Anolis sagrei: one gene and its partners. The protein of the gene in region 1 purifies or fractionates together with the protein of each later gene. This does not show direct contact. Links are inferred from orthologs where the notes say so. Each region holds a gene or a part of one and is shown in the gene's direction. Other genes may lie near its edges.

Region 1 (6,992 bases):
GAGCCTGGGTGTCTTCCAATAGTCTAGACAACTTGGAAACTTCTGTGTAAATTTAATTCAGTATAATTTATAATTAATCAACTTAAATTTCATAATCATGATACATGTTATACCCTTCCCCTTCATGTTCCTAGGCTGCTGCAAACTGAGGCCCCTACCACACAGTTGCATAAAATCCACATTAAACTGCATTATACTGCATGGCAGTGTGGACTCAGATAAGCAAGTTCAAAGTAGATATTGTGGAGTATCTGACTTGATATTCTGGGTTATATGGCTGGGTAGAAAGGCCCTGAATTAAAAACCATGTGGTGTTGTCTTTGTTGATGTCATAATAAATCATCTGCCCATAAAAGCATATGCCATAATATATCTGTTACAGTCTTCATATGTTATCAGACACCTTGGATTGTTTTTCACACAACAGAATTAATATACCTATCCCCTCTGAAAAAATATTTTTGCTGTCGGTGAAAACCAATTGACGTGAATCCTGAAATCCAAATCTTACCTGAGGTTGTTATAAAATGTGTTGCTAAAACATTAATCCCAAATTTTGAAAAAGGGAAAGTAATAAAAAAAATCTTCTGATGCTGTAACTGCTTCCTCCGGACTATTAACATCTGAGACAAAATGTAGAGCTGTGACACTTGTATCATCACTCGTCTTGCTCTGCATGATCTTTAACATCTTTATTTGTCAAGAGTTTAGTCTTCACATGCAAGAATATGCCCACACTATATTGTTGCAACAGTTAGATACTACTTTAACTGTTATTCCATTTTAAGTAATCCTAAAATTTACTCTTTGGAAGGGTACTTAGAATACTCTGCAGTGGTCGATCGGTTATGTTATTACTTAATTTTTGTTTACCTGTTATAATTTTTATTTTAATCTGGGGGGCGTTGTTGTTTAATTCTCTTTGTTCATGTATTCTAGCATTGAATGTTTGCCATTTTTTTTATTGGAAACCACCCTGAGCCCCTTTGGGGAGATATAAATAAAATTGTGGTTGTTGTTGTTATTCTGATAGAAATCTCTAGTTTGCTACAGTATTTTATGTACTGTTCAAATGGAAGCACTCAGTGCAACAGAGAATTTCTGAGTGCCTCTCTAAAGAACCAGCAGATGAGAGCTTTCCAAACTCTGTGTTGCAAGACATGTGTGTGTCGACTGCAGTGTGTAGGCATGTCCCATGAACATAATGAGAAATCTGAGTCTATGTGAAATGAGTATTTATGTGTGTGTGTGTGTGTGTGAGAGAGAGAGAGAGAGAGAAAGAGAGAAAGCTTTCATGAAATATGTTGTGCATATTTCATTTTTACAATTTATCTATGTGTCTTTGGACCTTTTCACATTGATGAGGTCCAGGGTTCACCAGCCTCTGTGCCAAATCAGTGGGTAGCAGTCATTCCCAGCACCCCATGCCCCGCCTCTCAACCAGCTGATGCTTCCCTATCACACTTGGAAGCGGTAGCCTTATTGTTCCAATTGAGCCATGAAGCCCCTCTGAAAGTGAGGCTACGATGTGTGATGGGTGGCATGGGCTCCATGGGTCAACTGGGGCAGAAGTGTTCTAGGACACTCAATTTCCATCGTGTGATGAAATCCCAAATCTCTTATAAGGGGTTAGTTTAACTTCCAGTTTGCTATTAAAACTGAATTGCTGTGTTGTGAAATGGCACGTGTCTTTAAATTGTGTCATCAACATGAAATGTTTGGAAAGTAGATAACACTTTAAAATGAAGTCAGGACCATTAGAGTGGGATGAAACTGTTGTAATAGCATAATGTACATAAACTTTCTTTAGCTGGAGAAGAGAGATAAAAACGGCACTTGGACATTATTTCACTGAGAGAACTAACATCAAATAGTGTGATCCAAGAGAGATATAAGTTTACCAATATTACTAATGGATTTTGAACAGTTCAAGCATTTAAATAAAGTGCTATATAATTATTACGTATTGCTATTATTTCTATTTTCACTGCTGTCTGGTGAATAGGCATACTAGAAGGATCATTACACTTTAATGTGTATCTAGCAAAAATGTGATTATAATATTCTGTAAAAATAACCCTCGAAAACACAGTTTTATTATCCTCCCTCTCTCTCCCAGCCCAATGTAATGTTTCGACTATCCCCCAAGTGCTTCGTCTTTGAGGATAGTATAAACCACACATTTGACCCTTGCATAATCAGGTGTTTGGGTTGCAAACAATGGAAGGAATGATCAGTTAAATATTTATCATAGGTTTATTTTTACTTTCATTAATCTCTTACTTTTTGGCAAATGTGACAACATGACATCATTATAAATAACATTTTTAGCCCCAGGTCCCCCCACCCCTCCAATAAAAGATAGTTCATAATTAGGGAATTCACAGTTTTGCCAAGGACACCAGGCTGGAATGATATAATAAGAGTTCAGTTTTGGCCAATCTGCAGAAGACTAACAACCACAAGGACCTTTCCCATGTTAGATAGTGGGTACATTTAGTCTAGATTTCATGAAACCTAAGCAAACACCTTAAAACATGAGTTAACAACTGTGCTAGTTGTCCCCCATACTAGTCAATGAACTACAAACAAAAGGGAATGCTAAGTAAATAATATTTTATAACCATGCCCTTTATTTCTGAAATCCCATCTTTCCTGCCTATTCTTGCTTTCTGTATAATCTTTGACTCACCTTTGATGATACTGGACTTTTCATATCTCAAGCCCTGTTTTGTTTCCTTTTTGCCTTTTTCATCCTCTTCCACTCCCACTCCCATAACTACCAGCCCATAATATCCTATCTCTCCCCAAAATCCTGGTCCCAACTGTGCTGTTTTATCTTAGGCTGGGCCCTCACAGACCCACTGATCCTCTGTGTATGTTTCCCCACAATCCCAGGGATCCATCCTTTTTTTTACTGTGGCCGTGTCTCCTTGCACACTATTGGCTGAGCAGCCGAAGTGGGGCTTGGGCTCCCATTGGACGAGCTGCACCAGTCCCCGGCCACTCCTCCCAGCTTGCTGATGTCACAGCCAATCACAGCGAAGCCAGCTCAGGGGGGCGGGAAATTTGAATGGAAAAAAACCCTGTATATATTGTCTAGTTCAGGGGTTCTCAAACTTTTTAAACAGTGGGCCAGGTCACAATACCTCAAACTGTTGGAGGGCCGGATTATAATTTGAAAAAAAATGAATGAATTCCTATGCACACTGCACATATCTTATTTGTAGTGCAAAAAACACTTAAAAACAATACAATAATTAAAATGAAGAACAATTTTAACAAATATAAATATATTAGTATTTCAATGGGAAGTGTGAGCCTATTTTTGGTTGATGGGATAGGATTGTTGTTGTTGTTTCAGACTTAGGTTGACCCTGAGGAAGGGCCGGGTAAATGACCTTGGAGGGCCGTATCTGGCCCCCGGGCCTTAGTTTGAGGACCCTGGTCTAGTTTTCTGTATCAGAACCATGGTGATTTCTTCAGCAGATTACTGCAGCTGTCATCCTTTTCCTGCTGGAACAAAAATAAATACCTCGGTGGCTTCTGCTTCCACTTGAGAAGATTTATTCTGGAATATTGGTTTCTTTTTTTCTCACCAGGTTAAACCCACAGCGGCTTGGATGTCACTATCCACAGCCATTCTAAATTGCTGGACAACAATATCCCATTGTATACAAATACAGCTATTCCAAAATCTGGGTGGGAAAAAAAATCACAAGCATTTCAGATACTCAACCTGTACCGCCCTCTAGTGGACTAAGCATGGAAGGTTAAAAATGAAAGGCTGGAGTGGAAGCATGGGCCCTCCAGGTGTTTTGGCTGTTAGGAATTGTGGGAGTTGAAGTCCAAAACACCTGGAGGGCCAAAGGCAGCTATAATTGGACAGCGTGGCTTTCCTCTCCGCCAATCCCCTGCCGCAGCCACTTGATGGGCAGGCCGTTCGCGCATGCGCTCCTCCTCCTTTTCCATTCCTCGGTCTTTGTTTTGCTTTTCCCTGTCAGTGGATGCACTTCCGCCCTCCTTTACGTTAGTATTGTGAGCCTTTCGGCTCGTCGTAGTCAGGTGACCTCAGTGGGCACTGTTGCCGGCATAGAGCTGGAGAGACTTTTCAAAGCCTGAGGCGGTTGTAGGGCGCGGCCATGGCTCCGGACCCCTGGTGAGTGAGGGAGGGAAGGAGGGAGCTGGCGGCGGAGCCTGACCCTTCCGCCCTAAGCAGGGAGAAGCCAAGCCGGCTTAGGCCTCCGTTTGTGCCGGGCACCAGCAGCCCTCCTCCAGTCACGTCAAGGACGGGCTTCCTTGCTGAGCTCGGCCCACTTGGGAAACTGCTTTGCCTGCCCTCCTGCACCTGACACTCTTCGCACCCATGCAAGGCCGCGGGGCGGGCTGGAGAGAGAAACTGAGGGCGCATTTACACCAGGCATGAGCAACCTTGGCCCCTCCAGGGGTTTAGGACTTCAACTCCCACAATTCCTAACAGCCTCAGGCCCCTTAAGCGCCTGAAGGGGAAAAGGAAAGGGACAGAGGCTGTTAGGAATTGTGGGTGTTGAAGTCCAAAACACCTGGAGGACACAAGTTTGCCCATGCCTGATTTACACTGTAGAACCAGTGCAGTTCGACACCACTTGGGCCAATGCCATGGGTCAATGCCGTGGGATGCTGGGCGTTGTAGCCTTCTCTGCCAAAGAGGACTATCAGCAATCTCATATCTCAATCTCACTCCCACGGACTCTTAACATTAATCTGTGGCAGTTAAAGTGGTGTCGAACTTCATTGATCTTGCAGTTTAGATGCAGTCAGGGTCATTTTTCAAGTAGGTGAAAAAGTGGAATAGCATAGGTCTCATTCAGGCTTTTCATCATCATCATCATCTTTAATTACTTATTAATCGCCCTCCATCCGAGATGCTCCATGCGATTTACATAGCAGAAATTATACAGGATAAAACACATACACACAAATATTAAAATCAACATGGGTCAAATGCTCGAGTAAAAAGCCAGGTCTTAAGTGCTAGGATAAAATGCCCTGAGTCACGCATGGCTCTCAAATAGGGAGGCAAGGAATTCTATAAGGCAGGGGCAGAAATAGAGAAGGCCCTGCGTCTGGTGCTTTCCAAGTGCACTTCCCTAGGACCCGGCATATAGAGCAAATCGCGTTGGGATGGTCGTGGCGACCTCCAATGATGGTAGAAGGAGAGATGGTCTCTAAGATACAATGGACCCTGGCCATATAAAGTTTTAAAGGCCAGGACCAGCATCTTATACAAACCACAATACTCAATTTTCTTGCCAGATATGAATAGTTATAATACAAGGTAACGGTTTTACCCTGACATTAAGTCCAGGCATGTCCGACTCTGGGGTTGGTGCTTATCTCCATTTCTAAACCGAAGAGCCGGCGTTGTCCATAGACACCTCCAAGGTCATGTGGCCAGCATGACTGCATGGAGCGCCGTTACCTTCCCACCTATTGATCTACTCACATTTGCATGTTTTCGAACTGCTAGGTTGGCAGAAGCTAGAGCTGACAGCGGAAGCTTACACCGCTCCCTGGAAACAAACCTGTGACCTTTTGGTCAACAAGCTCAGCGCTTTAACCCACTACATCACCGGGGGCTCCATAGTTATAATAAGATGTTATTTCTCTTCCCATCTCCCCAAGGGGACGCAGAGCGGTATAATAATAGTAGTAGTAGTAGTAGTAGTAATAATAATAATAATAATAAACATTAATTATACCCCGCCACCATCTCCCCAAAGGGGACTCGGGGCAGCTAACATGAAGCCAAGCCCAAAGTTACAATACAACAAAATAAAATACAGAATGCAGACAACAAAAAATACATCAAAATAAAATACGTACAGGAGCAAAATAAATAAAACAAATTAACACAATATAAAATCGAACCGAATGGGCAGGCCAAATAGATGGGGTAAAATGATAAAACCCTGGATGAGGTAGGAAAGAGAATATGTAATTGAGGGGAACCCCAAAAGAATAAACAGTGGGGTAGGCTTTCAGTTTAGTATGGGGAAAAGTGCATCATAGGGGCAACACTATAGATGGAGCAAGCATAAATTGGATAAATTTGCTGCTATACAACATATAGCAGCAAATATTCAATGCCATAAAGTGCAGGAAAACAATAAACAATCTCACAAAGGTGATAACATCTTAAACATCAAATATCAAATAATAATAAAGCAGGGCAATAAATTAATCAAACATAACTAAAATATTTATTTATTTTTCATATTTATATCCTGCCCTTCTCAAACCCAAAGGGGAATCAAGGTGGCTTTACACGTAGACAGCTATCAATGCCTTGAAAACAACATACTATTAAAATAAACCTTTAATGTAAAATTAAAATTAATACAAATTAAACAGTTAAAAACATATCCATTATTAAAACTACGCCATCCATCAATGTAATCCAGGGCCATTCAAATAATCATTGAACATATTCTGTTGCCCTTCTCCAAAGGCTTGATCCTAAAGCCAGTTAGACTCAGTAATTAAAACAATAAATTAAAAATAGTTGGAAGGTGTATTACATTTAAACAGTGGTCTCTCCCACAAATTTTCTATACTTGAGCTGTGATGAGCCATTGGGTATATGTGTGTGTGTGTAGATTAGATCTTTCCACTTTGGGTGGGGATAAAATCAAGTTGGATGATTTGATGCCAACAAAGGACATTCCTCTTCTCCATTGGTAGCTCTCACTTGTGTGTCTTTAAGTCATTTCTGACCTATGGCAGCCCTAAGGAGAACCCATCACATAGGGTTTTTTTTGGCAAGATTGGTTCAGGTTTGCTGTTGCCTTCCTCAGAGGTTGAGAGAGTGTGACTTGTCTACAGTGGAGATAATTTTAGCACATGCACCTTTTTCCTGCATGGAAAGTTTTTCCACTGAAAATTCTTTGATAAGGTTAGTAACCTTGCTGTACTCTGCAACAAGTTAAGCTGGCTGTTTGGGACCAGTTTTG
Region 2 (7,117 bases), on another chromosome or scaffold:
TTTTTAAAATACGCGCTATTCAGTTGGTTGAAGACGTAGCGGAGTGCTAGAGGTCTTGTTCGAGAGGCGGGAGTATAAAGATTTGTACTGACACAGTTCAGTTGCCATCATGCGTTGGAATAGTGAGGAGCGTGCTTTTGCCGTTGAGGCCTACTTTTCGAGCAGATTTGGAGTGGCCAGCCCGCTCTCTAGATTTGGCCCCTTGTGATTTTTTTCTATGGGGTTTTTTGAAATCCCGTGTTTATGTGAACCATCCAAGGACCATACAAGATTTGAAGACCAACATCCAGGAAGAAATTGCCAACATAACGCCTGCTATTAAATCATGACAAACGCCAGAAATCATTTTACTCAGTTTAGTGTATGGAGAATGGGGGATGTCACCTACCTAATTTGATCTTCAAAACTACGTAAAACAAAACTTTAGGTAAGCGCCTACATTATAAAAATAAAAATTTCTGATTCATACAATGGGTTTGATTAAGTTTTGAAAAAAGGAAGTTATGCTGCCTCACCCTGTAGATACGACAAATGAATTACAATTGAAATTTTGCACAGCAGAGAGAGAGAGAGAGAGAGAGAGAGAGAGGTGTGCCTTCAAATTACCTATCACACAAATTGCATATTTTCTCAAGCAAGAAATACTCAAAGGTGGTTTTGCCAGTTCTTTCCTTTAAAACAGTAGCTCCCAACCTGTGATCTGTGCACCACCAGTGGTCCGCAAGAACAGAAATATGATCCACAGCCTCACTGTTAGTACACCAGGTTTTTGTAAGTCTTTCAGTATCTATGGCCATGTTCCAGAAGCATTCTCTCCTGACGTTTCATCGGCATCTACGGTTGTGAGGTCCTCAGAGACCCCACAACCTGGGAGGGTGCCTGCCATAGATGCAGGCAAAACATTAGGAGAGAATGATTCTGGAGCATGACCATACAGCCTGAAAAAACCTTATAAAAACCCAGTGATTCCGGCCATGAAAGCCTTTGACAATACATTGTTACTACACCGTTGCAATGAGAGTGACTGATATCGCAAAACCCTCTTATAGTGCCAAGGCTTATTAAATATGGTTTTCTATGTGTCATGCCCCAGCATGCATCTGTGATACTATGTTTGCTTTGTAGTTTGGCCCACTTGACTTTCTATAGTCAGAATACTGTGGGTGAGCAAATGGCGACTACTGGATGGCATATTTATTTATTATTTATTTGCTTTATTTCTATACCGCATTTTTCAGCCCTTAACAGGCGACTCAATGCGGTTTACATGGTACAATTATCAAACAGTGTCAGTGCAATTAAAACATAACAATGCAACAAACAGGATCAACAGCATCAATCCACAACAGTTAACAATCAACAAGACAGATCAACAAAACAGACATAACATAACACCTCAGTTGAAATCAGATCCGTTCTCATAATCCTTGTGCCATTCCTATGTTCCATTTACCGTCTTCCTATGATTGGTTGCACTGCTTAACCAAACGCTTGTTCATAAAGCCAGGTCTTAACCATTCTCCGAAACGTCAGCAGCGAAGGTGCCTGTCTGATGTCTGCCGGTAGGGCATTCCATAGCCGAGGGGCCACCACTGAGAAGGCCCTGTCTCTCGTCCCCGCCAAGCGCGCCTGTAACGCAGGCGGGATCGAGAGCAGGGCCTCCCCAGACGATCTTAATGTTCTGGTCGGCATACGTTCAGACGATCTTAATGTTCAGCATATGTTCTGTATCAGAAACTAGAACTGATGGGGTCTATCCAATGCGATCTAAAGTTGACCAAAACAGATTCATAACCCTTTTAATACTAATGTTGAAAGGTGGATCCTGGTCAAAGTGGTCCCAGGTAAAAAAAAAAAAGGTTGGGAACCACTGATCTAAACCCTCTGAGGCACGGATACCATTGTTTTCCATAGGAAGGAGTAATCATGCATTTCTATAAATAGGGATGGCAGCTCTCTGCTAAGTACAATATTATAACTGGAACAAACCACTAAAGGAAAACTACCCTTCCATCTATTCTCCAATGCCACTATTATGCTATATTATGCTGTAATATTTTGTAAAAAAAATTCAAGGGGAGGAGTTATTATGCTCTTCCCTAAAGAGGGATGACAGCTCGCTGCTAAGGACAGAATGGAAAGAGATTCTGGCAGGTTTGCATGAAGAAAAAAAGCTGGGAGTGGAGACATATCATTGTCTAAGTGTGATGCGGAAGCATTGCCTCCGAAAGATCCTACAAATCTCATGGGAAGACAGGTGGACAAATGTCAGTGTGCTGGAAGAAGCAAAAACCACCAGCATTGAGGTGATGGTCCTCCGCCATCAACTCCACTGGACCCGCCATTGTTCGAATGTCTGACCACCATCTCCCAAAGCAGTTGCTCTACTCCAAACTCAAGAATGGAAAACAGAATGAGCGTGGGCAGGAAAAGAGATTTAAAGATGGGCTCAAAGCCAACCTTAAAACCTTGGTAATAGTATGAAAGCTGGGTCGGGAAGCTCTGAGCCTTACGCTGTTTCCGCTTCGCTCCTGTTTGCACAATGCAGAACGGAACACAGATATAGAAGGAATGTAAGAATTCTTTAATGGTAAAGCCCTAACCCTAAACCCGGCCCTTAACCCTTATCCTAACCCAAACCCCAATCCTAACCCATCCTAACCTTACCCAGAGGTGGCCCTAAATAATTTTCAACGGTAAGCAAACAGTATTTTTGCCCCCCCCCCCCAACCAATCAGATATATATTTTCTGTTCGTCGTGGGAGTTCTGTGTGCCATATTTGGTTCAATTCCATTATTGGTGGAGTTCAGAATGCTCTTTGATTTTAGGTGAACTATACATCCCAGTAACTACAACCCACATATGTCAAGGTCCATTTCCTCCCAAGAGCGCCTCAAGAGCACCCCTGGGCAAAATCAACTATACTGTAAATGCTTACTTTGCGTAATGGGTTGAGCCACCCCTGTCCTTACCCTAAACCTAAGCCTAATTCTAACCCAAACCCTAAACCTTAATCCTAACCCTCCCCTCCTTTCTATCCTTCCACCAAATTAAAGTATGTTCCCGCCCTCAGTGTGCCGCTCTCCCCTTCCCTTATTCACAACCGCTATTGCGGAATGTGCGTAACGCTCGGCACTTCCGGACCTAGCTATCATACTATCACCACAAACTCTGGCATAGACAGTGAGAAGTGGGAAGCCCTGGCCCTTGAGCGCTCCAGCTGGAGCTCAGCTGTGACCAGCAGTGCTGTAGAATTTGAAGAGGCACACATGGAGGGCAAAAGAGAGAAACGTGCCAAGAGGAAGGTGCATCAAGCCAACCCCGACCGGGACTGCCTTCCACCTGGAAACCAATGCCCTCACTGTGGGAGAAGATGCAGATCAAGATTAGGGCTCCATAGTTACCTACGGACCCACCGTCAGTACACCGATATTGGAAGACAATCCTACTCGGACTAGGAAGGATCGCCTAAGTAAGTAAGTAAGTAAGTCTCAAGACTGCTGTATGATTTTTTTTTTTTTGTCGCATCAGGAGCGACCTGAGAAACTGCAAGTGGCTTCTGGTGTGAGAGAATTTGCCGTCTGCAAGGACGGTTGCGCAGGGGACCGGCCAATTTGATGTTTTTATCATCCTTGTGGGAGGCTTTGCTCATGTCCCCGCATGGAGCTGATAGAGGGAGCTCATGCGCCTCTCCCCGGATTCGAACCTGCAACCTGTCGGACTTCAGTCCTGCCAGCACAGGGGTTTAACCCACTGCGCCACCGGGGGCTCTGCTGTCTGATAAGGTCCTTGGAGGCGTTTATGAGGCAGTCCTCCGATTAGTGCCTAATCACACTAGGGCTGAAAACAGAGCACGCATCCCATCTGAAATCCTGTGCCTGCCTTCTTTCCCAGAGAATTCTGGGGCTTGTAGTTTAGTGAGGCTGGCTGAGCATTTTAAAGGTCCCTCCTCTGAACTACAAGCCCCAAGAGGAAGCCACAGGACTTCAGACGGTGAAAAGAAGGCACTGCACGATCCCTCCAATGGCGACGCGGCGCTGTGTAGAGTCAGCGGAAAGGCCGGGAGTGGGCGGGGCCAGGCAGCGCCCCTCCCTTTGGTGCGGCAGCGAGTGGGCGGAGCTTGGCCGAGGGGCGTGGTCACCCGGGCTGATCAGCTGAGCGCCAGAGAGCTGGAGCCCGGAACCCGGCTCGCCCGATGGGGACGCGGTGCTGAGCGGGGCTGAGAGGTAAGGGCGGCCTCCCTCCCTCCCTCCCTCCCGCTTGCCCGAATGCAGCTCTGGCAGAGACTCCTCTCTCCCTTGTTTGTTGGAATGACTGCTTGCCTGCCTAGAGGGGGCGGAGGAGGGAGGCGCCAGCCCGCATTCCTCCTTCCTTCCTTCCTTCCTTCCTTCCTTCCTTCCTTCCTTCCTTCCTTCCTTCCCTTCCCTTCCCTTCCCTTCCCTTCCCTTCCCTTCCCTCCTTCCGTCTTTTCCCCTCTCCCCCTTATTTCTGTCTCTCTTTCCCCTCCCCTCTTCCCTCCTTTCTTTCCTTCCTTTCCTCTCCCTCCTTTGCTTCCTTCCCCGCCCTTTCCTTCTTCTTCCCTTTCCTCTTCTCCTTCCTGCCTTTCCTCTGCAGCAACACGCCCCTCCCTGTGTGTTTGTGTGCGAATGGTGGAGCCTGCCCAGGGATGGGAGGGTGGCACATGATGCCAGCCATGGAAAACAAGGCTTCCTTTCTGGTGTCTCCTCCCTCTCCTCCTGGGTGGAGCCATCATGTGACCGTGATGAGAAGGAATCACGGCTTCTCCACGGAGGCACCCCGCAACCCCGTCGGATTAAGGGGAATGGCATTAGGCCGGGGAGAATGCGTGTCTTTGCAGGCGTGACACGCTCAGAGGGAGCAATGCAGCCGGGACACGTGATGGTGGCGTGTGGGCAGCCACTGCTTCCACTTGGGCATTCCTTCTGGGGGGAATCGCCTCAGGAGGGGCGCGGATTGTGTTGTTGTTGTTATTGGGCGTGTGTAGGCTTCCTTACATCCTTCTCTTCTGTGTTTTGGATTTCCATTCTTTGTGGATGAATGTAACTGGCTAATAATAAGTACTAGTGTACCTGCCAGGCGTTGCTGTGGCCAACCTTCCCTCCCTCTTTCTTTCTTTCCTTCCTTCCCTTTTTTTCCTTTCCTTCTCTCCTTCCTTCATTCTCAATCTCTTTCCTTCTTTCCCCCTTTTTATTTCCCTTCTTTTTTCTCTTTCTTCCTTCACTACCTCTTTCTCTCCTTCACTCTTTGCCTCCATCCTTCTCTCTTCCCCCCCCCCTTTCTTTCTCTCCTTTCTTCCCTCCCTCTTTCCTTCCTTCCTTTTTTCCTGTCCTTCCTTCCTTCTCTACTTCTTGCTTGGGAAGCGAGCCTTGCAGGGAGTCATTTTTGGTCATGTGCTGTAATGTGTTTTTTTGTTGGGGTGGGGGTGGGGGTTAAGTCCTTTCCACTGTGTGTTTTTTGTTTTGTTTTTAGGAGTGATGGTCACTCGTTGGCCTGATAGGTGTATTGTGTCCAAATTTGATGTCAATTCATCCAGTGGTTTTTGCATTATGTTAATCCCACAAACTATCATTACATTTTTATTTATATAGATTATTGGGTTGCTGTGAGTTTTCTGGGCTGTATAGCCATGTTCCAGAGGTATTCTTTCCTGACGTTTTGCCAACATCAATGGCAGCTCACAACCTCTGAGGATGCCTGCCATAGATGTAGGTGAAATGTCAGGAGAGAATGCTTCTGAGACCTGGCCATACAGCCCAGAAAACTCACAGTGACCCAGTGATTCCAGCCATGAAAGCCTTCAATAACACAATAATTTATTTATTTATTTAGAGCATTTCTATCCCGTCCTTCTCAACCTCCAAAGAGGGACTCAGGACGCCTTCCAACAGGCCACTATTTAGTGCTGACACAACAAAACATAGCATAAAATACAGTTATATACATTAAACAATTATAAATATACATTAGAAAGTTCAAGTGAAGATCGTCGTAATATAATACAATAATTATTATATTTTATACCGTGTTTTCCTCTCTTAAATGAGACTCAAAACAGCCCACAACATTTAAAATAGTACATTGATTATCCCAGGCCTCTTCTACACTGCCAGGTAATCCACATTATGTGCTTTGAACTAGATTTATTGATATTTATCATGTCACAAGTGAATTGAGGGCACAATTGAAATGTATTTAAAAGACAAACAAAGTTAAAAACTTGGCATTATGCTAAATGTCCTTTCACCAGTAGCTGGCCACTTGGAGTACTTCTGGTGTCACTATAAGAACATCCTACATCATGCATGTGGCAGGGCTCAGGTTGCTTTGTACTAAGTGGTCTGTGGTTTTCTCTCCTCCACACTTGCATGTCGTGGACTCACTCCCATATAATCCAGTTCAAAGCAGATAATCTGGATTTTATATGGCCGTGAAGAAGGTGCTCCAGTGATATAGAATCATAGGCTTGGAAGAGACCTCAGGGACCATCCAGTCCAATCTTGCCATGCAGGAAAACATAATCAAAGCACCCCCAACAGATCCCCATCCAGAGAAGGAGACTATATTATTGATTGTGATTCAGTATTTTATGGTAAATATGTATAAAACGGTTTGCCACGTGTTTTCTCTTTTTCCTGTAAGAAAATAAGGGGTCAGGAGTGATTGCTTTTTAGAGATGAATGAAGTACACTTTGAGCATCCCTTATCTGGAATTTCAGAATCTGAAATGCTCTACAATTGGTCATGTAGGTGTCTGGGATAGTGACACCTTTGATTTCTTCAGTGTACACAAACTTTGTTTTAGTGCATAAAAATATTTAAAATATTGTTTAAAGTTACCTTCAGGCTGTGTGTATAAGGCAGGTATGGGCAAACTTCAGCCCTCCCTCCAGGTGTTTTAGACTTCAACTCCCACAATTCCTAACAGCCTACCAGCGGTTAGGAATTGTGGGAGTTGAAGTCCAAAACACCTGCCTAGAGGGCTGAAGTTTGCCCATACCTGGTATAAGGTATATATAAAACATAAATGAATTTAGCATTTAGGCATGGATCTCATTTCTGAGAGATCTCATGTATGTGTGTGCAAATCCAAAAAAT
Region 3 (7,699 bases), on another chromosome or scaffold:
GACGCTTTCTTGTGAGTCCCATGCTTTCTAAGTGAGGCAAGCATAATAATAACTGCTATAGAACTCTAAATACAAGTGGTAAATGTATTTAAAGCATTAAATAAACTTAGATCATGATTTCGTGATAGTTAATGCTACCATTCTCCAATTTCACTGAAAATTATGTTCACGAGGCTTTTTGTATCTTTTTTGTTAGCAATTTGATGACACATTTGGTATTTTTCTGTAGTAAAGAGACGAAGGCAAAGAAGGTAGCCGACGTTGTCTGTAGACAACTCCTAGGTCATGTGGCTGGCATGTCTGCATGGAGTGCTGTTACCTTCCCGCTGAAGTGATACCCATTAGAGACAAAGATGAAGTATTTTGGCCACATAATAAGACAGGAAAGCTTAGAGAAGACAATTATGCTGGGGAAAAAGGAAGGAAAAAGGAAGAGGGGCCGACCAAGGGCAAGATGGATGGATGGTATCCTTGAAGTGACTGGCTTGACCTTGAAGGAGCTGGAGGTGGTGACGGCCAACAGGGAGCTCTGGCGTGGGCTGGACCACGAGGTCATGAAGAGTCGGAAGTGACTGAACGAATGAACAACAACAAAAGGTAAAGGACATTAAGTTCAGTTGTGTCCGACTCTGGGGATCGGAGCTCATCTCCATTTCTAAGGCGAAGATCCGCCATTGTCCGTAGACACCTCCTAGGTCATCTGGCCGGCATGACTGCAAGTAGTGCAATTACCTTCCCACCCACCGGAGCGGTACTTATTGATCTACTTACATTTGCATGTTTTCGAACTGCTAGGTTGACAGAAGCTGGGTGCTGACAACGGAAGCTCACGCCACTCCCTGGATTCCAACCTGTGACCCTTTGGTCAATATTCCTGCTTCTTGGCAGGGGGTTGGACTGGATGGCCCATGAGGTCTCTTCCAACTCTTTGATTCTATGATTCTAAGTTTCGCAGCTCAGCGGTTTAACCCACTGTGTCACCGGGGGCCCCCACCATTATACTACAATATTATTAGTAATTTTACATGTAATATATAATATACAATTATATTATTTTACTAGACGCCCCTTGCAATGTGTTGCTGTGGCCTAGTCTGTGTATATGTGTATATATATGTGTGTGTATATTTGTGTATATATGTGGGTTATGCGCGTGCATTGTAATGTATTTTTTAGCTTTTAAGTCTCTTCTGCTGTGTTTTTCAGTGTTTTATGAGTGATGGCCACTCGTTGGCCTGATAGGTGTATTGTGTCCAAATTTGGTGTCAATCTGTCTAGTGGTTTTTGAGTTATGTTAATCCCACAAACGTACATTACATTTTTATTTATATAGAGTTAATCCCACAAACGTACATTACATTTTTATTTATATAGATTCTACCATATTATTAGGGCCCCCGGTGGCTCAGTGGGTTAAAGCACTGAGCTGCTGAGCTTGTTGATCGAAAGGTCGCAGGTTCAATTCCGGGGAGCGGCATGAGCTTCCGCTGTCAGCCCTAGCTTCTGCCAACCTAGCAGTTCGAAAACATGCAAATGTGAGTAGATCAATAGGTACCGCTCCGGCGGGAAGGTAACGGTGCTCCATGCAGTCATGCCGGCCACATGACCTTGGAGGTGTCTACGGACAGCGCTGGCTCTTCGGCTTAGAAATTGAGATGAGCACCAACCCCCAGAGTCAGACATGACTGGACTTAATGTTAGGGGACTACCTTTACCTTTACCCTTACCATATTATTATACCACAATTACACTACCAGTATATTATACTATTAGTATTACATAAGATATTGTGCTATATCATAAGTTATATTAATGCACTCTGGTTTTATTAACATATGACATTCTCTCTCTCTCTCTCTGGAGATTTGATGACTCTTAAATGTGCAGAGCTGTGATGGAGAGCAATCCCCTGAAAAGAAGGAGAGGGAGAAGGAGGGATGGCCAAGGCAAAGCCAGAGGTGTGAGAAAGAAGCCTGGAGGCAATGGCCACCAGCCACTCCCTCCTCCTTCCTGCTTTTGGACCCAGGAGATGAAGCAGAGGCTCCCAAGCAGAGCCAGGGAGGTCCCGCACCCCTCTCACCCGCCTCGTGACCCCTTACCAGGACAGGGCCCGGGACTCCCGCCTCCTCTGCAGCCTCTGGCTCCGTTATGTTTCTGTTTGGCGCGCCCGCCCTCGCTCCTTTCGCCCACTTCCCCGCCTCCGGGCACCTTGTCTGGGAGCCCGGATGCGCAAAACCCTTCACTTCCGCCCCGACTTCGCCTCGCCCTCAACAGCCTGGCAAGTCCGCCCGCAAATGAGTCCCTCCTCTTACCTCTCAGCACGCAAAGCCATCAGAAGAATCAGTGCAGTTTGATCCCACTTTAGCTCAATGCTAGAGAATCGTGTATTTTGGTGAAGCACCAGCACATTTTGGCGGAAGAGGCTCAAAACATTGTGAAAATCCAATGATTCCATAGAATTCAGCCATGGCAGTTAAAGAGGTGCCAAAACTGCATTCATTCTACACTGTATGGTAAAGATAAAGGTTTTCCCCTGACATTAAGTCTAGTTGTGCCTGACTATTATTATTTATTATTTATTAACCATCGGGGCTGTCTCTTCTGACCACAAGGTCATGAGTTCGAAGCCAGCCCAAATCGGAGTGAGCTTCCGACCAGTTGTGTAGCTTGTTGTCGACCTTTGCAACCCGAAAGACAGTTGTATCTGCCAAGTAGGAAAAGTAGGTAGCACCTATGTGTGGGGAGGTTAATTTAACAAAATTTAGGTTAAAAAGGTTGTCCCCTGACATTAAGTCCAGTCATGTCTGACTCTGGGGTGTGGTGCTCATCTCCGTTTCCAAGCCGAAGAGCCAGCGTTGTCCATAGACACCTCCAAGGTCATGTGGCCAGCATGACCACATGGAGCGCTGTTACCTTCCCGCCGGAGCGGTACCTATTGATCTACACACATTTGCATGTTTTCGAACTGCTAGGTTGGCAGAAGCTAGGGCTGACAGCGGAAGCTCACGCCGCTCCCTGGAATCGAACCTGCGACCTTTTGGTCAACAAGCTCAGCAGCTCAGTGCTTTAACCCACTGCGCCACCGGGCCCCCAAAAATTTAACAAAATTTACGAGGCCATAAAAAAGACTCCAGCAAAAGCATGCGGGGAATGCGGAAGTACTTAATCAGCGTTGCAGATGGACGATGAAAGCAACAGCTCCCCTGGCGGCCAGAAAAAGTTAAATAGCCTCTGACTGTTTGTCTATATCTGTTGTGCATCTTTGGCATTGAATGTATGCCATATATGTGTACATTGTAATCTGCCCTGAGTCTCCTCCGGGGTGAGATGGGCGTAATATAAATACTGTAAACAAACAAATAAATAAATATTGATATACTGCCTTTCTCAGCCTGAAGGCGATTCAGGGAGGTTTACAAACAGTACAATTTGCTGCCCACAATAACAAAGAACAATTAAAACATTTAGCATAAATAACATTTGACAAAATATAATGAAACTGATAGAAGTCTAAATCCACAGCGTCTCATTACTCAATTCATTACCCAATCACATTGTCCAGTCGTTCCGAAGATCAGAGTTTGTCTGCTACACTGCATTTGGGAAAGCTTGCTCAAAAAGCCAGGTTTAAACTTTTTTTCGAAATGTTAGGAGGGTTGGGGCCGACCTGGCTTAATATTTTCTGAGGAAATGTGCTCATGGGCACTCTGAGAAGTCATGCAGTTTTTTAAAAGATCAATCTTTAGATCATTTTTAAGCCGAAGAGCCAGTGTTGTCTGTAGACACCTCCAAAGTCATGTGGCCAGCATGACTGCATGGAAAACTGTTACCTTCCTGCAGAAGCAGTACCTATTGATTTACTTACATTTGCATTACATTAGTCAGTTAAACTGCTGAGTCAGTAGCTCAGCAGTTTAAGCTGCTGCACCACGAGGAGGCCCCTACAGTGTAGATGCACCCTAATGTCTCTCTTACGTGTGGATTTCCTCCCCCCCCCCCCCGGATTTTGGAATATTTTGCCTCTACATAATGAGACATCTTGGAGGTGGGACCCAAGTCATAACATTTTTGTTCCTGTGTTATCAATGTCATTTCCTAATTGGGGCTATCATAAAAACATGGGATTTTTTTTAAAAAAATTAAGCTTTGCTTTTGTGCAACATCCTGCAGCATATTTTGCTATAGTTTTTCAATGAATAGAGTCTCAGCCAATTCAACATAGTTTGTGCAGCCACGCCAGAAGCGACTTGCAGTTTCTCGTCACTCCTGACATGACCAAAAAAAGCCATAAAAATGTAGTTTCTGGAGTAGAACAACTACTTTTAGAGTAAGCACTGCACAATTAAACAGGAAATAACATTTTCAAACCAGGAAAATATCCCCCCCCCCGAATTTTGTTACCTGGTGTAATTTATTCAGGTATGATGTACATCTTATGCACATAGTCTGATATGGACTATGTATATGCAGTCTTTGAAATGTTTTTGTGCATGAAACAAAGTCTAAAAGGCATGCCTCCAGATATTATAATAATAATAATAATAATAATAATAATAATAATAATAATAATAATAATAATAATCATCATCATCATCATCATCATCCATGATGGACTCTAGTTGCCCTCCATTCCCATTGGGACGAGCACCCGGAACCTTGGTTGCGAGATGAGGTTCCTCAGGGGACTGTTGTTGGTGACGCTCAACCCGGAAGTACAGCCCTGACAGGAGCAGCGGCGAAGTTGAGTTTGCGTTATCCGGGGGGGCGCGGGTCGTGAGCACCCCCAATTCCGAGGCGGGCTACCTGTGGGCTTCTGTTGCCTCCCTTCCGCCCATCTAGCCGCCGAGGCCTGTCCTTCCTTGGCCGCCATGTCCTCAGACTTCGAGGGCTACGAGCAGGACTTCTCGGTGCTCAGCGCTGAGATCACAAACCGCATCGGGAAGGTGCCCAAGTTGCTGGGAGGTGAGTCCTGGGGCCGAGGGGGGCTCCTTCCCGGCCCCTCTGCCTTTCCTCTCGCCCCTTGCTTTGGCAGGGCCTTTGACACCCCTTTAACAGTCATGGCTCAATGCTGTGGCCTCCTGGGAGTTGTAGTTTGGTGAGGCACCTCCATTCCTTGGCAGAGAAGGGCAAAGGCCTCGTAAAAGTATAGTTCTTTAGATTTCATAGCATTGAACCAAGGCTGTTAAGTGGTGCTAAACTTCATTAATGTTGCTCTCTCTCTCTCTCTCTCTGTGCGTGTGTATATATGTCAGGACTTCTTTGTGGTTAAGTACAGCTGTTAAGATTTCATATAATTGAATCAAGGCTGTTAATAATAATAATAATAGGAGCCCCCGGTGGCGCAGTGGGTTAAAGCACTGTGCCGGCAGGACTGAAGACCGACAGGGAGAGGCAGATGAGCTCCCTCTATTAGCTCCAGCTCCTCATGCGGGGACATGAGAGAAGCCTCCCACAAGGATGATAAAACATCAAAAATCATCCAACGTCCTTGCAGACGGCCAATTCTGTCACAACAGGAGCGGTTGCTCCTGACACGACAAAATAATAATAATAATAATAAACCTTTATTTGTACCCCGCTACCATCTCCCGAAGGACTCGGTGCGGCTTACAAGAGGCTGAGCCCAAATACATCAGTAAAACAACAATACATCAATAAACTCGTAAACAAGCAGTAAACATTAACAATAACACCACGACACATTAAAAGAACCTATGATAGGGCCAAGTGTAATAATTAAAATTGTTAAAAAATACTGGGCATGACCAGGTGACCAGGTGAAATAGGATAGGTATTTTGAAGATAGATGGGGCATGCAGACGATCCTAGATCTCTACTAAAGTGCATTTGGGACTAATTAATTAATTAATTAATTTTTTACGCTATATTTCTAGCCCGCCTTTCTCAAACCCGAAGGTGACTCAAGGCAACTTTACAATATAGGCAGCTTCAATGCCATTAAAACAGTGTAAAAATTACAATAAACATTTAAATAGCATTATAAAATACATACATAAAAACCTTAAAAATCATATAAAGCCACTACCTTCACAATTAGCCTCATTGTCCAAAATCATTGTCTAAGCTGTTCCAGTATAGGATTTTACATAATTCTGTATTTATCTATTTCACTAGGTTCTCAAAGGCTGGCTCAAAAAGTCATGTTTTCACTTTTCTACGGAAGGTCAGGAAGGAGGGGGCTGATCTAATATCCCTAGGGAGGGCATTCCACAACTGAGGGGCCACCACTGAGAAGGACCTGTCTCTCATCACCGCCAGTTGCACCTGTGAAGAAGGCAGGGCCTCCCTGTTAAGTGTTAAGTCAAGGCTGTTAAGTGGTGCTAAACTTTATTAATGCTGCTCACTGTGTGTGTATGTATGTCACGGCTTCTTTGTGGTTGAGTCCCAGTTTTGGAGTCTACTCATCCACTTTGAAGCAGAAGTACCTTGAAACAACACCATTTCCCCCCACTGGAATAAAGTTTTCATTTAATGTTGAATGCACCCACCTGAAAGCGGGGAAATTCATCCTGAGTGGGAAATCCCGCTGAACTCAGTTGGGTTTCTTCCCAAATAAGTGTGGAAAAGACTGCAGATCTTTCTTTCCACCGCTGCCAGAGCAGCACCTAAGGAATCTCTCTTGTATAACTAGCTTAGTGCTTGAAAACGGACTGCTTAACTACTTTTTTGCCTCAACCCAACCAACTTGGGCCTTGATTGTTGTGAAGAACTTTGGACTGTTATTGACGCCACCGCTCTCTATTGCACTTGAACCCAGACTGTTTGTTGACTATGCAGGCCAGTTATGTCTCCTAAAACATGTGCTTCTTGTGAAGGGGGGGGGGGCAGTTTCCAGGTTCAGATGGGCACAACATGTGCCTCCTTTACCTTGGGGAATCCCATGTGGTGGGATCTTGACCTGTTTGCCTCTCTTTCACTCTGAAGGTGTGGTGAGGGTGTGAGTACCGTGTGAATGATTTACTCTGTGAGCCAATCCTCCTCCCATCTCCCTCCCCAAGGAAATGTGTGGCTTCAGAGCCTCCTGAGCTGGGAAATACATTAAAGGGTGTGCATTAGGGTTATGGATGTTTGCCTTTGGCTTGTTCAGTTGGTTTGGAAGCCCATAGTGGCATGGACTCTGCCACCATTTTTTTACTGGTCACAACAAAACAGTGGCTGTTGAAAACTGACTTCTTTCGGTTACACATATAGTGCAGGGAGGTAGGCAGCCACTAGAAGGAAAAGGATTCAAACAAGTGAGGCTCCTTAAGCCCTTTCTTGATTTGTAAGCAGAAAGGAGATTGAAGTGTGAGGGGGGGGGGGGGAAGGCACGTTAGTTCTCCTTTCCACTCCAGCACCTTCAAATCAAGAGAGAAGAGAGGGCTTTTTAAAGGAAGCCCAGGGTAGGATGCCTCCAGGTCAATCCCTTTTCCTTCCCTGGGAAATGGGAAGCCTACTGAAAATGCCTTGGAAAACTACCTACTGCAGAGAGTGCGAGAGCATGAACCTGCAGTCCATGTCTCCTCTAGAGAAAAAACAGCCTTAACAAAGCATTAATCCTGTCTCCTCTGCAGACAGAAGGGCAAGGATTATAGAAAGAATGGTATTTTAATTTTGATGCTTTAAATCCAGGTCTTAATGAAGAATATAAGGACAAACACAATGCTTAAAATGACAGGAAGGGGAGCCTGTGAGAAGT
Region 4 (7,865 bases), on another chromosome or scaffold:
AAGAAATGCAGAAAAAGTGGGGGAGAAACACAGGAAGAAAGGGAGAAACGAAGGAAGAAAGGGAAAGAAATGCGGAAAGAGTGGGAAAGAAACACGGGAAGAGAGGGAAAAATGCAGGAAGAAAGGGAAAGAAATGCGGAAAAGGTAGGAGAGAAACACGGGAAGAGGGAAAAACACAGGAAGAAAGGGAAAGAAATGGAGGAAAAGTGGGAGAGAAACACGGGAAGAGAGGCTAAGAAACACGGGAAGAAAGGGAAAAACACAGGAAGAAAGGGAAAGGATGCGGAAAGAGTGGGAGAGAAACACAGGAAGAAAGGGAGAAATGCAGGAAGAAAGGGAAAGAAATGCGGAAAAGGTAGGAGAGAAACACGGGAAGAGGGAAAAACACAGGAAGAAAGGGAAAGAAATGAAGGAAAAGTGGGAGAGAAACACGGGAAGAGAGGGTAAGAAACACGGGAAGAAAGGGAAAAACACAGGAAGAAAGGGAAAGAAATGCGGAAAAGTGGGAGAGAAACATGGGAAGAGGGGAAAATGCAGGAAGAAAGGGAAAGAGATGCGAAAAGAGTGGGAGAGAAACACGGGAAGAGAGGGAAAAATGCAGGAAGAAAGGGAAAGAAATGGAGGAAAAGTGGGAGAGAAACACGGGAAGAGAGGGAAAGGAACATGGGAAGAAAGGGAAAAATGCAGGAAGAAAGGAAAAGAAATGCGGAAAGAGTGGGAGAGAAACACGTGAAGAGAGGGAAAAATGCAGGAAGAGAAGGAAAGAAATGCGGAAAGAGTGGGAGAGAAACACGAGAAGAGAGGGAAAGAAATACGGGAAGAAAGGGAAAAACGCAGGAAGAGAGGAAAAGAAACATGAGAAGAGAGGGAAAACGCAGGAAGAAAGGAAAAGAAATGTGGAAAGAGTGGGAGAGAAACACGGGAAGAGAGGGAAAAACGCAGGAAGAAAGGGAAAGAAATGCAGAAAAAAGTGGGAGAGAAACACGAGAAGAGAGGGAAAGAAATACGGGAAGAAAGGGAAAAACGTAGGAAGAGAGGAAAAGAAACATGGGAAGAGAGGGAAAACGCAGGAAGAAAGGGAAGGAAATGCGGAAAGAGTGGGAGAGAAACACGGGAAGAGAGGGGAAACGCAGGAAGAAAGGGGGGGAAGCGGAAAGAGTGGGAGAGAAACACGGGAAGAGAGGGAAAAACACAGGAAGAAAGGGGAAAACGCAGGAAGAAAGGAAAAGAAATGCAGAAAAAGTGGGAGAGAAACACGGGAAGAGAGGTAAAGAAACATGGAAAGGGAAAGACGCTGGAAGTGTGGGAAGGAAACGTGGAACGAGAGGGAAAGAAACATGGGGGAAAGGGAAAGAAATGCAGAAAGGGGAAAATGCAGAAAGAGGGAAAGACGCAGAAAGCAGGAAAAACTGAACGAGAGGGAAAGAAATGCAGAATGAGGGGAAGAAATGCGGAAAGAAACGGGAAGAGAAGGAAAGAAACATGAAAAGAAAGGGAAAGAAATGCGGGAAAGGGGGAAAGAAACACATAAAGAGAGGGAAAGAAATGTGGGAAGAGGGGAAAAGAAACACGGAAAGAAAGGAGAGAAACACTGGAAGAGGGGGAAAGAAATGCAGAAAGAGGGAAAGATGAAGGAAGAGAGGAAAAGAAACATGGAAAGAAAAGGAAAGAAAAACTGAAAGAGGGGGAAAGAAACGTGGAAAGAAAGGGAAATAAATGTGGGAAGAAAGGAAAAACTCGGAAAAGGGGGGAAAGAAGTGCAGAAAGAGGGAAAGAAACGTGGGAAGAAAAGGGGGAAAAGGGAAAGAAACGCAGAAAAAGAGGGGGACAATTGTGGTTTTTTGATTGACTACGACTGTATATCCTGCGGAGGCGCTGTTTTGATGTGTGGCCTGACAACCGGGATGCATCCCATCAGCTACAATCTTGCAATAACTTCCAGGCTTCGTCACGGCGCAATATTAGGGGGGAAAGGGTTTAAAAAGTGACCACAAGGAGGCATTTGAATGGATTCGGAGGAGCCGGCCTTCCACGGCAGTGTGAGCTGAAGTGGTTTCAAAAGGTAAGAATCCATCTCTCAGGGGTGCTTTGAATGCGATTTCTGGGTTTGAGCCTGCCACTTTTGGACTCTCGCTTGCTGGGGTGTTCCAACGAGTGTCTCTGTAGGTCTTAGGAAACTATTTCTTGATTTAAGTCGTTGACGTGCTGGCTGATACCCAAACAGGGGATGGGCTGGAGGTGTCTCTGCCTTGGTCCTTTCACTATTGGCTGCTCCTTCCCGGCGGATGTCAGGTGGTGCAATACCGGCTAAGCAGTGTAATGTCTCCAGTGGTGTAGGGCGCAGACACCCCGTGATAATGCGGCATGTCTCATTAAGAGCCACATCCACTGTTTGAGCGTGGTGAGATGTGGTCCACACTGGGCATGCAGATTCAGCAGGAGAGTTATCATGTGAATGGATTTATATCTATCTATATATATAAATGCTCTGTGCATCATGAGTCCCTTAAAAACAAAAGAACCAATGAACGAAATCACACCAAATTTGGCAACAAAACGTCTCACAACACAAGGAGTGACCATCACTCAAAACATTATGATTTTGCCCTTTGGGAGTTGTAGTTGCTGGGATGTATAGTTCACCTACAATCAAAGAGCGTTTTGAACCCCACTGACGTTGGAATTGAACCAAACTTGGCACACAGTTCTCCCATGACCAACAGAAATATACTGGAAGGGTTTGGTGGGTAGTGTCCTTTGGTTTTGGAGTTGTAGTTCACCGACATCCAGAGATCACTGTAGACTCCAACAATGATGGATCTGGACCAAACTCTACACGAATACTCAATATGCCCATATGTGAACACTGGTGGAGTTTGGGGAAAATAGAATCTTGACATTTAGGAGTTGTAGTTGCTGGGATTTATAGTTCACCTACAATCACAGAGCATTCTGAACCCTATCAAACTTCCCACACAGAACCCCCACAGCAACGCGTGGCAGGGGACGGCTAGTAATAAATAAATAAATAAATAAATCATAGAATCAAAGAGTTGTAGAAATCTTACAGAATCATAGAATCAAAGAGTTGGAAGAGACCTCATGGGCCATCCAGTCCAACCCCATTCTGCCAAGAAGCAGGAATATTGCATTCAAATCTTCTTTGATGATTTCTCCCTTTTCCCACTTCTTGTGCATGTCTCTTTTGAGTCGTAGCACAGTTAGAAGTTCTTTGGACATCCATTCTGGCTTCTTTTTGCACTTGTCCTATTTTTCCTCTTTGTTGGCACAGTTTGCAATTGCGCCTTGAGTATTTCACTCTTGAGAAATTCCCATCCCATCCGTGACCAGGTTGGTTCATCAGGTGCTCTGCTGTGGCTGACTTCTCCAGTTGAGCTAGTCTACAGGGCCTTTCATATTCTTTGATTCATGCCTGGGCAATGCTGCTGCGTTGGGGGTCTCTATTGAGAGAAGCCCGGGAGTGTGGCGCAGCTGGCTGAGTGTCAGATGCATTAAGATCACTCTGACCAAAAGGTCATGAGTTCGAAGCCAGCCCGGGTTGGAGTGGGTTTCCAATCAATTGTGTAGCCTGTTGTCGACCTTTGCAACCCGAAAGACAGTTGCATCTGTCAAGTAGGAAAATTAGGTACCACCTTAAAGTGTGGGGAGGCTAAATATGTGAGAGGAAGCCACAGGGAGGAGGGAGCAAACTTGTTTTCTGCTTCCCTGGAGACTAGGACGCGAAACAATGGCTTCAAACTACAAGAAAGGAGATTCCATCTGAACATGAGGAAGAACTTCCTGACTGTGAGAGCCGTTCAGCAGTGGCACTCTCTGCCCCGGAGTGTGGTGGAGGCTCCTTCTTTGGAAGCTTTGAAACATAGGCTGGATGGCCATCTGTCAGGGGTGATTTGAACACAATATTCCTGCTTCTTGGCACAATGGGGTTGGACTGGATGGCCCATGAGGTCTCTTCCAACTCTTTGATTCTATGATTCTATGAAATAAATCATAGAATCAAAGAATTGGAGAAATCTTCTTTGGTGATTTCTCCCTTTTTCCACTTCTTGTGCATGTCTCTTTTGTGTCTTAGCACAGTTAGTTCTTTGGACATCCGTTCTGGCTTCTTTTTGCACTTGTCCTATTTTTCCTCTTTGTTGGCACAGTTTGCAATGAGGAATTCCCATCCCATCGGTGACCAGGTTAGTTCATCAGGTGCTCTGCTAGGGCTGAGTTAGTCTAGAGTGCCTTTCATATTCTTTGATTCGTCCCTGGGCAATGCTGCTGCGTTGGGGGTCTCTATGGAGAGAAGGCTGGGATTGTGGCGCAGCTGGCAAAGTGTATGCAATCAAAGAGTTGGAGAAATCTTCTTTGGTGATTTCTCCCTTTTTCCACTTCTTGTGCATGTCTCTTTTGTGTTTTAGCACAGTTAGAAGTTCTTTGAACATCCATTCTGGCTTCTTTGCACTTGTTCTATTTTTCTCTTTTTTGGCACAGTTTGCAATTGCGTCTTGAGTATTTCACTCTTGAGAAATTCCCATCTACCCATGACCAGGTTGGTTCATCAGTTAGTCTACAGTGCCTTTCATATTCTTTGATTCGTCCCTGGGCAATGCTGCTGCGTTTGGGGTCTCTATGGGGAGAGATGGCCCCCAGGGTGTCTTCCAACTCTGGGATTCTCTGTCTGGGAGGAATACGAGCCCTTCCCAGGCCAAAGGCAATCCCAAGGCAGGGCGGTGCTGCGCCTCTCCCAGCTGAAGGCAATCCAAGGGCGGCCAGGAAGGAAAGCACTCCATGAAACTCTGCCCAGCTGTTGCTCCAGTGTCTCCACCTCTTTCTCTCTCTGCCTGCCTCTGGGGGCCCTTTCCCTGGCCTTGGGTTGGGCTCCCTTCCTTCCTTCCTGGAGGAGGGGCCAGTGCCAAAGTGGGAGAAGCAGCAGCAAGAGCAACCGGAGCAGCTAAGAGACCCTTGGAGAAGAGCTTGGATTGTCCCCCTCCTCTTCCTCTGCTATCATGTGAGTGACCCCTTTCCCTCCTCCTTCCCTGTTTCCTCCCCCCACAATACCAGGCCACAACACTTTCGTTTTCAGCCTTCCTTCCTGGTTCTCTGGGGCTGGGCCCAGCAGCGCCTTGAGACACACCACAAGCTCTGCCTGGGGGGGGGGGGAATCCCCCCCACAAGGCAACCCAGGGGTCTCTGCAAAGCCAGGGGTGAAAGCAAAGCAACGCGTTGCTAGTAAATAAATAAATAAATAAATTATAGAATCAAAGAGTTGGAGAAATCTTCTTTGTTGATTTCTCCCTTTTTCCACTTCTTGTGCATGTCTCTTATGTCTTTGCGCCTCTGAGAGTGAGCCCACAACAAGAAGACCAACTTGGGAGTGGAGGCAAGAGGCCTTGGAAATACTCCAACCACAATGGGAGGCACACTCCTTGCTTACTCTTCCCACTCTCAAGCGAGAGGCGTGCAATGGGACACTATGCAACAAAACGTGCAAAATGTTTCTGCTTTGAAAGTGTTGCTTCCTGTGTCGTTGTGCGGCACTTCCTACTCCGGCAACTTTGTGTTTGGTGGTTGCCACAAAGGTTGGGAACTCAATGAGGGTGAAACAACCTGAGCAAAACGAGCTGGAAGATGTGAAAAGTTTGGGCAGCTTAACAAACTTTTCCCAAGTTTTGATAATAGAACCAAATAAGGACATTTATAACCCGGCAACAAAAAAAAAATCGTGTTACATAGTATTATAATAATATTTATTATACCCACCTCTCCTCTTGTATTAATAATAATAATAATAATAATAATAATAATAATAATATTGTCCTTATTTCCTCCTTGGTTCTATTATCAAAACATGGGAAACATTTTTTAAGCTGCCCAAACCCTAATAATAATAATAATAATAATAATAATAATAATAATTTTATTTCTTACCCACCTCTCCTCTTCTATTATTATTATTATTATTATTAAAATTTATTTTCTTATTTTATTTATTAATAATAATATTTTTATTTCTTACCTGCCTCTTGTATTATTATTATTATTATTATTAAAATTTATTTCTTTATTTTATTATTTATTATTAATAATAATACTTTTATTTCTTACCTGCCTCTCCTCTTGTATTATTATTATTATTATTAAATTTTATTTTATTATTTTATTTATTATTAATTAATAATAATATTTTTATTTCTTACCCATCTCTCCTCTTCTATTATTATTATTATTAAAATTTTATTTTCTTATTTTATTTATTATTTATTAATAATAATAATATTTTTATTTCTTACCCACCTCTCCTCTTGTATTATTATTATTATTAAAATTTATTTCCTTATTTTATTTATTATTTATTATTTATTATTAATAATATTTTTATTTCTTACCTGCCTTTCGTCTTGTATTATTATTATTATTATTATTATTATTATTATTAAAATTTATTTCCTTATTTTATTTATTATTTATTATTAATAATATTTTTATTTCTTACCCGCCTCTTCTCTTGTATTATTATTATTATTAAAATTTATTTATTTATTTATTATTATTATTAATAATAATATTTTTATTTCTTACCTGCCTCTCCTCTTGTGTTATTATTACTATTATTAAATTTTATTTTCTTATTTTATTTATTATTAATAATAATATTTTATTTCCTACCTGTCTCTCCTCTTGTATTATTATTATTATTATTATTATTATTATTTTAATTCTGACTCGCCTCTCCTCTTGTACTACTATTATTACTATATATTATAACAAATAATGATAATAATATAATTTTATTTCTTACCAACCTCTTGTCTTATTTTATTTCTTACCCGCCTCTCCTCTTGTATTATTATTATTATTATTATTATTAAAATTTATTTTCTTATTTTATTTATTATTTATTATTAATAATAATACTTTTATTTCCTACCCGCCTCTCCTCTTGTATTATTATTATTATTATTATTATTATTATTGCCTAGTTTCCAACAGGCCTCACAACCTCTGAGGATACCTGCCATAGATGTAGGCAAAACGTCAGGAGAGAATGCTTCTGGAACATGGCCAGACAGCCCAGAAAACTCACAGCAACCTTATTATTATTATTATTATTATTATTATTATTATTATTATTATTGCCTAGTTTCCAACAGGCCTCACAACCTCTGAGGATACCTGCCATAGATGTAGGCAAAACGTCAGGAGAGAATGCTTCTGGAACATGGCCAGACAGCCCAGAAAACTCACAGCAACCTTATTATTATTATTATTATTATTATTATTATTATTATTATTGCCTAGTTTCCAACAGGCCTCACAACCTCTGAGGATACCTGCCATAGATGTAGGCAAAACGTCAGGAGAGAATGCTTCTGGAACATGGCCAGACAGCCCAGAAAACTCACAGCAACCCTATTATTATTATTATTATTGTTATTATTAGTTTATTTCTTAATCACCTCTCCTCTTGTATTATTATTATTATTATTATTAATACTAATAATAATAATAATAATACAATACTCCTCTTGTACTACTACTATTAGTACTATATAGTATTATAACACATAATGATAGTAGTATTGTCGAAGGCTTTCATGGCCGGAATCACTGGGTTGTTGTAGGTTTTCTCGGGCTATATGGCCATGGTCTAGAGGCATTCTCTCCTGACGTTTCGCCTGCATCTATGGCAAGCATCCTGAGAGGTAGTGAGGTCTGTTGGAACTAGGAATGACCAGGGTGGGACAAAGGACTCTTGTCTGCTGGAGCTGGGTGTGAATGTTTCAACTGACCACCTTGATTAGCATATAATGGTCTGACAGTGCCTGGAGCAATCTTTTGTTGAGAGGTGATTAGATGTG

Evidence for each region.
Region 2: the proteins of STX8 (region 1) and STX7 purify together in Homo sapiens (affinity purification with mass spectrometry; 5 studies listed by BioGRID and IntAct, counting the BioPlex papers as one, with this or other methods). This does not show direct contact. The link is inferred for Anolis sagrei from reciprocal best matches to the Homo sapiens genes STX8 and STX7.
Region 3: the proteins of STX8 (region 1) and VTI1A purify together in Homo sapiens (affinity purification with mass spectrometry; 3 studies listed by BioGRID and IntAct, with this or other methods). This does not show direct contact. The link is inferred for Anolis sagrei from reciprocal best matches to the Homo sapiens genes STX8 and VTI1A.
Region 4: the proteins of STX8 (region 1) and VAMP3 purify together in Homo sapiens (co-immunoprecipitation; 3 studies listed by BioGRID and IntAct, with this or other methods). This does not show direct contact. The link is inferred for Anolis sagrei from reciprocal best matches to the Homo sapiens genes STX8 and VAMP3.

The regions. Positions count from the first base shown.
Region 1 is NC_090022.1:125,312,943-125,319,934, forward strand, and holds the start of STX8 (syntaxin-8), read left to right. Parts: upstream 1-3,979; 5' UTR 3,980-4,142; coding exon 4,143-4,159; intron 4,160-6,992. UniProt on the Homo sapiens protein: Vesicle trafficking protein that functions in the early secretory pathway, possibly by mediating retrograde transport from cis-Golgi membranes to the ER.
Region 2 is NC_090021.1:81,872,305-81,879,421, forward strand, and holds the start of STX7 (syntaxin-7), read left to right. Parts: upstream 1-4,111; 5' UTR 4,112-4,227; intron 4,228-4,804; exon of another isoform or gene 4,805-4,998; intron 4,999-7,117. UniProt on the Homo sapiens protein: May be involved in protein trafficking from the plasma membrane to the early endosome (EE) as well as in homotypic fusion of endocytic organelles. Mediates the endocytic trafficking from early endosomes to late endosomes and lysosomes.
Region 3 is NC_090023.1:208,325,333-208,333,031, reverse strand, and holds the start of VTI1A (vesicle transport through interaction with t-SNAREs homolog 1A), read left to right. Parts: upstream 1-4,695; 5' UTR 4,696-4,868; coding exon 4,869-4,962; intron 4,963-7,699. UniProt on the Homo sapiens protein: V-SNARE that mediates vesicle transport pathways through interactions with t-SNAREs on the target membrane. These interactions are proposed to mediate aspects of the specificity of vesicle trafficking and to promote fusion of the lipid bilayers.
Region 4 is NC_090033.1:20,406,318-20,414,182, forward strand, and holds the start of VAMP3 (vesicle-associated membrane protein 3), read left to right. Parts: upstream 1-4,852; 5' UTR 4,853-5,012; coding exon 5,013-5,014; intron 5,015-7,865. UniProt on the Homo sapiens protein: SNARE involved in vesicular transport from the late endosomes to the trans-Golgi network.